Linked DNA regions of Saccharomyces cerevisiae S288C. The gene in region 1 interacts genetically with each later gene. Each region holds a gene or a part of one and is shown in the gene's direction. Other genes may lie near its edges.

What was found.
Region 2: mutations in MCT1 (region 1) and NPR3 together harm fitness more than expected from each alone (negative genetic interaction), as found in Saccharomyces cerevisiae (2 studies listed by BioGRID).

What each region holds. Positions count from the first base shown.
Region 1 is NC_001147.6:755,962-759,408, reverse strand, and holds MCT1 ([acyl-carrier-protein] S-malonyltransferase), read left to right. Parts: upstream 1-1,850; coding exon 1,851-2,933; downstream 2,934-3,447. Other genes in the region: ODC2 (mitochondrial 2-oxodicarboxylate carrier), read right to left, coding at 156-1,079; RCN2 (Rcn2p), read right to left, coding at 3,284-3,447. UniProt on the Saccharomyces cerevisiae protein: Involved in biosynthesis of fatty acids in mitochondria.
Region 2 is NC_001140.6:58,557-64,185, reverse strand, and holds NPR3 (Npr3p), read left to right. Parts: upstream 1-1,622; coding exon 1,623-5,063; downstream 5,064-5,629. Other genes in the region: SPO11 (DNA topoisomerase (ATP-hydrolyzing)), read left to right, coding at 29-1,225; RIM4 (Rim4p), read right to left, coding at 5,396-5,629. UniProt on the Saccharomyces cerevisiae protein: Component of the SEA complex which coats the vacuolar membrane and is involved in intracellular trafficking, autophagy, response to nitrogen starvation, and amino acid biogenesis. Mediates inactivation of the TORC1 complex in response to amino acid starvation.

The sequences.
Region 1 (3,447 bases):
CCCTTTTGTGTAGGAAATTGAGGGAAGTTTAGGCTTCTCAACATTTTAAGACGCCTATGCAAGGGCTGGTAGGACAGACATGCTATTCTTATTTTGACGTAGAAATAACGTAGTTAAGATTGAAGAGGAAAGAGGTATTCTATATACAATAAATATCAGTGTCCGTACTTCAGATCCCTGAAAAAGTTCATCATACCGGTAAAAACCACCAACATTAATGAACCACCGGGTGCTAGTCTACATACTTTGGGGACGAAACCTTTGTACAATGCTCTGAAGCCTTCTTCACGGTATATGACCAATAGCGAAGGTAGGCACCAGTTGTATTTTTTAACAGCACTGCTGACCGCGTCCACACTTTGGATTCTGGATTTCACCACGTCAAAGGGAGTGTTAAGCATGGTCCCGACCGTACCACCGATCGCACCTGCAATAAGGTCATTTCTGGTCTTTTGTCCCTTTGTCTTTGCTACGGGCATGGAATTTCTCACTTGGTAGATAACACCGAAGTAGCCACCATTCCAAAGAGCGTTTCTCCACATGGTAGATTCGATACCCTTGTATAGCCCCATAATACCTTCGTTTTTGATTGTTTTTTTCAAACAGTCCATTGGTCCAAGATAGCTGGACTTGACGTCTTGCATCCTGATTTTGATCAATTCAAATGGAACAATAACTGCAGCTTCTGTCATACCAGCAGATGCACCAGCCGCAATGGAGATCTTCTGCGTAGTTTCATTCGTGTTGAATAGGTTTTTGAAGATTTTTTGATATTGATCGTTACATGCAAATTTGGTGGCTCTCTTTGGTGCTTCCATCAACATTGGTGAACTAATACCTCTGTAAAGTCTGCTAAACCCTTCCTTCTTTACAATTTTTTTCAAACAATCGATGACACCATTATATCTCTCTACTTGCTTTCCTACTGCAGCGGCAGTAGGCGTCGTCACCTCCAGTTGAAATCTTGTCTTAACAACATCAAGCGGATACATAACAGTTAACTCAGAAATACCGGCGACGGCACCTGATATGAACTGATATATAAAAGGCAATGGCTTTGCGTTTGAGTCTGATGACATATTACTTTGATGCTACCTCGAATTACTTGACTATATAGAATCTAACCCAGTAAAAAAGTGCAGAAGAGCTTCAGACTGAAAAAACGAAGAGAACGTTTTATAACAGAATTACTTGCAAATGCATGTCGAGTCGAAAGTGATCGCGACTGCACTGAGTCATCAACAACAAGATCTTTCGAGATAGACAGGCAAAAAAAGCTCACCACGAAAAAACTGAAAAAAAAAAAGTTCCAGAGGAATTTGCCTGGCATAGAATAATAGCATTCGTAGTACCACTATTTCATGTTAGAAATGCACAAGCAATTGAATGTCAACGACAGAAGAGGACTAAGTAGTATGCAGAAGAACTAGAACTCCTATCTGAGAAGAACTAATTGGTCAACCATGTCTCATTGTCCTTACATTTGATAAATGCCGATCTTCTAAAACAGTAAACACACGTTAGCATCGCCTTGTGTTAACGAAGTAAAAAGGCTTGCTAAACCGAAAGTACACAATATGCTTGTCTTGAGAAAGTTGGAAGAAAATTATAGGCCCTTAAATATACTCAAAATGCAGAAAGTGTCATCTTCTTACATGGCATTTTTTGGCCGTATGACAAGGCGCATTTCAACCTCCGATGGAGGAAGTAAACTGAGTATCGAACTCAAGGGTAAAACAAAGCTTACCAGTAACTTGCTGCATATTAGAACTATTCAATAACGTACACTGAGGGTAGTAACAAAGCGTTTTGCACTTTTCTGATCGTGGTACACATATATAAGCGTTTGTATGAAGCTACTAACCTTCCCAGGTCAAGGGACCTCCATCTCCATTTCGATATTAAAAGCGATAATAAGAAACAAATCAAGAGAATTCCAAACAATACTGAGTCAGAACGGCAAGGAATCAAATGATCTATTGCAGTACATCTTCCAGAACCCTTCCAGCCCCGGAAGCATTGCAGTCTGCTCCAACCTTTTCTATCAATTGTACCAGATACTCTCGAATCCTTCTGATCCTCAAGATCAAGCACCAAAAAATATGACTAAGATCGATTCCCCCGACAAGAAAGACAATGAACAATGTTACCTTTTGGGTCACTCGCTAGGCGAGTTAACATGTCTGAGTGTTAATTCACTGTTTTCGTTAAAGGATCTTTTTGATATTGCTAATTTTAGAAATAAGTTAATGGTAACATCTACTGAAAAGTACTTAGTAGCCCACAATATCAACAGATCCAACAAATTTGAAATGTGGGCACTCTCTTCTCCGAGGGCCACAGATTTACCGCAAGAAGTGCAAAAACTACTAAATTCCCCTAATTTATTATCATCTTCACAAAATACCATTTCTGTAGCAAATGCAAATTCAGTAAAGCAATGTGTAGTCACCGGTCTGGTTGATGATTTAGAGTCCTTAAGAACAGAATTGAACTTAAGGTTCCCGCGTTTAAGAATTACAGAATTAACTAACCCATACAACATCCCCTTCCATAATAGCACTGTGTTGAGGCCCGTTCAGGAACCACTCTATGACTACATTTGGGATATATTAAAGAAAAACGGAACTCACACGTTGATGGAGTTGAACCATCCAATAATAGCTAACTTAGATGGTAATATATCTTACTATATTCATCATGCCCTAGATAGATTCGTTAAGTGTTCAAGCAGGACTGTGCAATTCACCATGTGTTATGATACCATAAACTCTGGAACCCCAGTGGAAATTGATAAGAGTATTTGCTTTGGCCCGGGCAATGTGATTTATAACCTTATTCGGAGAAATTGTCCCCAAGTGGACACTATAGAATACACCTCTTTAGCAACTATAGACGCTTATCACAAGGCGGCAGAGGAGAACAAAGATTGAGAAAGAGATCAAAACTGCGAACTCTCTCCACTCCCAGTCTGTGCTTCTACGCATTCATTGAAAATGGAAAGAGGACGAAAGTGTGCAAAAAATTAGCCAACTTCCCTTTATATAAATATCGTATACACATACATACATTCCTTCTATACTAATCGCTCTTGGATACACTAAAACAAATCCCTAATGCAAACATACATGTTATTATGCCATACAAAGTAAACACGCAAGTATATAAACGTATAAATGGATATATAGATATCTCTACGCATATTCTTTACATTATCATAGCATGAACCTTTTTCCCTTTTTCTGCTTTGTCTAATTTATAGTATTAGTTATGCTCTAGTGCTCTAATGGAAAAACTCGTTAACCGTTATGCTTGGACTTTTTGGAGGATTTGAGGCAGTAGCGTTTACATCATTTTCGGTACACGATGCAGCATTACTTCTAGTAGAAGTATCAATGGTCAATCCTAGTGGCTTAGAGGCGAAAAGGCATTTGGTGCCTGACGCTG
Region 2 (5,629 bases), on another chromosome or scaffold:
TTTTACGATTTACTAAGTTCACCTTCTCATGGCTTTGGAGGGATTGCGGAAAAAATATAAAACAAGGCAGGAATTGGTCAAAGCACTCACTCCTAAAAGACGGTCCATTCACTTGAACTCCAATGGTCACTCCAACGGAACTCCCTGTTCAAACGCAGATGTTTTGGCTCATATTAAGCATTTCCTGTCATTGGCGGCTAATTCATTAGAGCAACATCAACAGCCTATTTCAATCGTCTTTCAAAACAAAAAAAAAAAAGGCGATACAAGCAGTCCTGACATTCACACAACATTGGACTTCCCTTTGAATGGCCCGCATCTATGCACTCATCAGTTCAAGTTGAAAAGATGCGCAATCCTTTTAAACTTATTGAAAGTCGTTATGGAAAAATTACCGCTAGGTAAAAACACTACAGTGAGAGATATCTTCTACTCCAACGTGGAATTGTTTCAAAGACAAGCAAACGTAGTCCAGTGGCTGGACGTTATACGCTTTAATTTCAAGCTCTCTCCAAGAAAATCCTTAAACATTATACCAGCTCAAAAGGGTTTAGTTTATTCGCCTTTCCCCATTGATATTTATGACAATATTCTGACATGTGAAAATGAACCAAAGATGCAAAAGCAAACAATTTTCCCTGGTAAGCCCTGTCTAATTCCATTTTTCCAAGATGATGCGGTCATCAAGTTAGGGACAACAAGTATGTGTAATATTGTAATAGTGGAAAAAGAAGCTGTCTTCACCAAATTAGTAAATAATTATCACAAGTTGAGTACAAATACCATGCTCATTACAGGTAAGGGATTTCCAGATTTCTTGACAAGGTTATTCCTAAAAAAACTAGAACAATATTGCTCCAAATTGATATCGGACTGTTCTATATTTACCGATGCGGACCCCTATGGGATTAGCATAGCCCTAAATTATACTCACTCGAATGAACGCAACGCTTATATTTGCACGATGGCAAACTATAAAGGAATTCGTATTACGCAAGTTTTGGCACAAAATAATGAAGTGCATAACAAATCCATTCAATTATTGAGTTTGAATCAGCGCGACTACTCCTTAGCCAAGAATTTGATAGCATCTCTGACTGCCAACAGCTGGGATATTGCAACTTCACCATTAAAGAACGTCATCATAGAATGTCAGCGGGAAATTTTTTTCCAAAAGAAAGCTGAAATGAACGAGATTGATGCCAGAATTTTTGAATACAAATGAATAAGAATGGGAGCTGTTGCTTTATAAAAAATGTTTTTCAAGAATTGAAAACGGTTACATTTAAATATTATATAAATTGAAATCTTTGATAATGAATACTAGTCCAAAAAAAAATACAATTTCAAAAAAATAAATGCCATCTCCTAGAATCGAACCAGGGTTTCATCGGCCACAACGATGTGTACTAACCACTATACTAAGATGGCATATGATTTTACAATGATTCGATGGTGAATGAGTTATAAGCCATGTAAGGATCACTAGTCTTTTTTCTTAAGTAACTTTTTCGCTTGTGATATCTTGAAATACCATTAAACATAGATAAGCTATTGAAATGTGAAGAAAATTCAAAAAAAAAAGGGAACAGAGTCATCTTTTGGGTAGAAACTAAGCTTCAATGGATGAATGTTTACCCAATTCATGTCTACTAGGTGTTCACCTCGTCATTTCAACGCATTCGGGGCCACAAATAGTTTATCACTACCCACCCTCCAATACAGCATTTCTAACAAATAATCCAACGAAGCATCAGCACCTCTATGGAAACCATGCAAATCTAAATAAAAACACAAGTACAAATAAAGAAGAAAAACTCTTTAATTCTGGCTCTACGAAAACAGCTTCTCAAATTGCTCTAAACGAGTCAGCGAAAAGTTACAATACCGCTATTACGCCATCAATGACAAATACTAATACTAATAATGTGACATTACCTCCAACTAGATCGCATGCTAATACTGTAGGATCACAAAGTTCAATTCCTGCGGCTACTAATGGTGTAGGTTATAGAAAAACCGATATCGAAGATACTTCTCGGACTTTTCAATACCAAGAAACTGAATCTGAAACGTCATCATCGGGATTAAGTGACAGCGAATTGTCCACAGACTACTTAGACATTTCTAGCGATTCGTTTTCTATATCTTCTTCCTTATCGTCATCTTCTTTATCTTCTTCTCCCTCAAGTTCATCCTCATCTTCCCCTCCGCAAGATGGCTTATCAAGAACTAATTCGAGTTTCCAATCTACGGATTCAATGTCTCCAACTTCACCACAAATGATAATGGAAAACGATAGTATTTCAGTAGCGGAATCATATCTAGATTCTGGGACTAATAACAAATCAAGGGCCGCTTCCAAGAGATCCCAGAATTTCTTCCATAAATTGAGTACCAAGAAGAGTACTGATTCAAAAACACATTCTCCAGTAAGAAAGCTTAAATCTAAGCCATCACAAAGCACTAAAAAAGGCAACAAACTGTTAAAAAATACGTCCAATGAGACTGATGGAAATGCTTTTACAGGAAGTTGTTCAATTTCTTCTAAAAAATCTTTATCGAGTACAGGAGAGCATAACCAAGAACTTCGTAATAGTAGCCTGAACGACACTCCTGGCCAATCACCTCATCATTACCACCATCGTTACCACCATTATCATAAAAATGCCGCGACGAGCCAACGAAATTCCCATACCCAGTACGATGTTGAAGAAGAAGACATGGAAGTTTCGGCAATGTTGCAGGATGGTAAAATCTCTATGAATGAAATTTTTTTTGAAGAGGAAAACTTCCAGGATATAAATAAAATTCTAGAATTTGATAATGATTTTGTTGCAGAATTTTGTAGCCCTGAGAGGGAAATGTGCAATACCAGATTCGAATTCACGGTGGATAATTTCTGCTTCTTAGGCTTACCTATTCATGTAGATTCTCAAGGCAGATGGAGAAAATCCAAGCACAAAAATAAAACCCGCTCTAAAAGATCTTCGAGTACTACAACAAACATCAGTAGAAAGAAATCTATCGCTTCCAAAATTTCATCACTGAGTGAGAATACTTTGAAGAAAGTTAATAGTGGTGAAGCTGACACTGTTTATGACAGTAATATTGGTCATGAGGCTTCTACTGATACGCCGAATTTGAGGATAAATACTGATGTCAGTGGAAACGAATTTGAGAGAGAAAAGGAAGACTTGGGCAAAAATATGAACATGTTTCATGTATGCTTTGTTATGAATCCGCATTTAATCGAATATAATAAAAGGATTGATGACATGTATCAGTTTGTTGTTACAAGGTTATCATTATTGTTAAGATATGTGCAATCAAAAACCTCGTACATTTCTAGCGAATGCCATATAATTTTAAAGGAAAAAGAACGGGTACTGAAACATTCGAAAACATACCAATCTATAAGAGGCGCAGGAAACAAGGGGAAGTATCTGTACCAAAGAATTTTAGCCAAATCTTCGTTGGCTAGGGCGCTAACGGAATGTGTTGATAAAATCCAACGAAATGAAATCGCATGTCTTGAGATCAATGACGATAAAGTAATTTCCTTGCAAATCCCGATTCAAAACGAGTTTGAAAAAATGCCAAACTTCAAACTGCAACCCGTGCTAAGAGGCTCATATTTGACGTCCATTTTGAACATGAAATTTTTAGAAAAATCATCATTGAGAATTGAAAGTCAAAATCGTCAAAACGATCAGGCTCAATTCAGTGATACCAATAATAACATATACAGGTTTGGCAATAATATTAATAGTACCGGCCACTGTGGAGCAGCAAATGTGGATGACGGGGACGACAATGAAAGCAATTACTACTGCGACGACAATGATGACCTTTTAAACTATGCGCTATTATTATTGGACGAGCCAAATAATATTATTAGCTCCCTCGAAACTTTTTCATACCAGGACGATATTGGCACTATCATATTGAAACATTTAGTCAGAAATATCCAGCCAAATATCCCTCTAAGGTCGTATCGCTATCTGATAACTGATTTATTAGATAACCCTTCTTCACTGGACGACCTTACTACAGAAACAAACTCATTGGAATCAAGCATACTGCGCTCTTGCGCATTGCATTTAATGTATTGGAGACATGCAAGAATAGTGATCCCACTAAGCTCCAAATACACGTATATTGTTTCACCCTTGGCTCCTATTCAAGGTTATACAATAGATGATTATAAAAGTACTTCACAAAATGATGGGAACGTGAAAAAAATGGACGATCGCGAAAATAATAAGAGTGGAAGCGACAGAGTACCACTAATTTATCAAAATTCGATGTTGTTCAGATCCAAATTCCCATCATTGCCCAGTTTACCCATTTTTTTAAGTTTGTTGTCCACGGACAAACCTCAAGCGTACAGTAACATAATCCCATCAAGGGAACATAAGCCAGTTTACCTGAACGCGTTAGCGTGGTTAATACAGTACGGGTATGTAACCCAATTATTGACTTTCATAAATATCCGAGTGGACAAACACATAAAAATGGCAGTAGATGAGGATCTAGAAAAGGAAGGCTTCCGTAAGACTAATACTGCTAGAAGGCCCAGCATGGACTACAAAAAAACTGATAAAAAGCTGGATGATGAAGATGGGCAAAGTAGAGATGCAAACGCCAGCGAAGCGTGTTCAGGAAAGAATGAAGGCATGCAGTCCAACGACAACAACAAAGATGTGGACGAAAAAGATAACGAAAATGATAGTCGTGTTGATGATCGTGATGACAATGAAATAGCTATTGCGGATGAAGAAGAAATACTACACTTCGAATACGATGATCCAGAAATGCAACATGACTATACTATAATTTTGGAACCTGAAAGAGCCACTGCGATTGAAAAAAGATGGCTTTATAGATGTATTTATGGTCAGCCTTCAGATATCCAGATTCTTTTTAACAAGTTGCTCAAGTACTTCAATGGAAAGGTCCCCATGGAATTGGTTATCATCAAAGAGGAAATTAGCAGACATGACCTAAAGAAATTGCTCAATGCTCTAGATAAGTATTTAATCGAGATACACCATTGGTAAATCTCTCTATTGTAACAAAATGTAAGTAAAAAAAAAAAAATCTACCAAAAATTAAAATATGTGTATATAAGAATAGACAAAAGGAAGAATATATAAAAGGAAAAAAACATTTCGAGTGACTTGTAATCAAAACTCGAAAGTATGTATTGTTATATTAGGAGACAAAGAAGGTAAAAGAAGGAAAGAAGGATGAAAACAATACCAAGTGAAAAAAAAAAAAAAGATCCAGAGAAAAAAATAGGGAGACGAAAAAGAAAACGAAACTGCACTTTTAAAGTTAACATCACCGCTGAATTACATACATCTTTTGCAGCTTTTACGACCAATCATTTTTAGTAATCTAAACTATAAGCTTTGTTATCTTCATTTATGTCACCAGTATCGTTTGATATGAATTCGTTCGCATGAACATGGGTACTGCCATGATTAGCAGCATGTGATTGGCTTACATTTATTGGAGGAGGGATCATGCTTCCATCTAACCCAGAAGGCGGAGGTGGTGACATGGGATAAACCATCATATATGGATGGTGATTTCCAGCAGAACCTTGAGAAGGATGCAATGG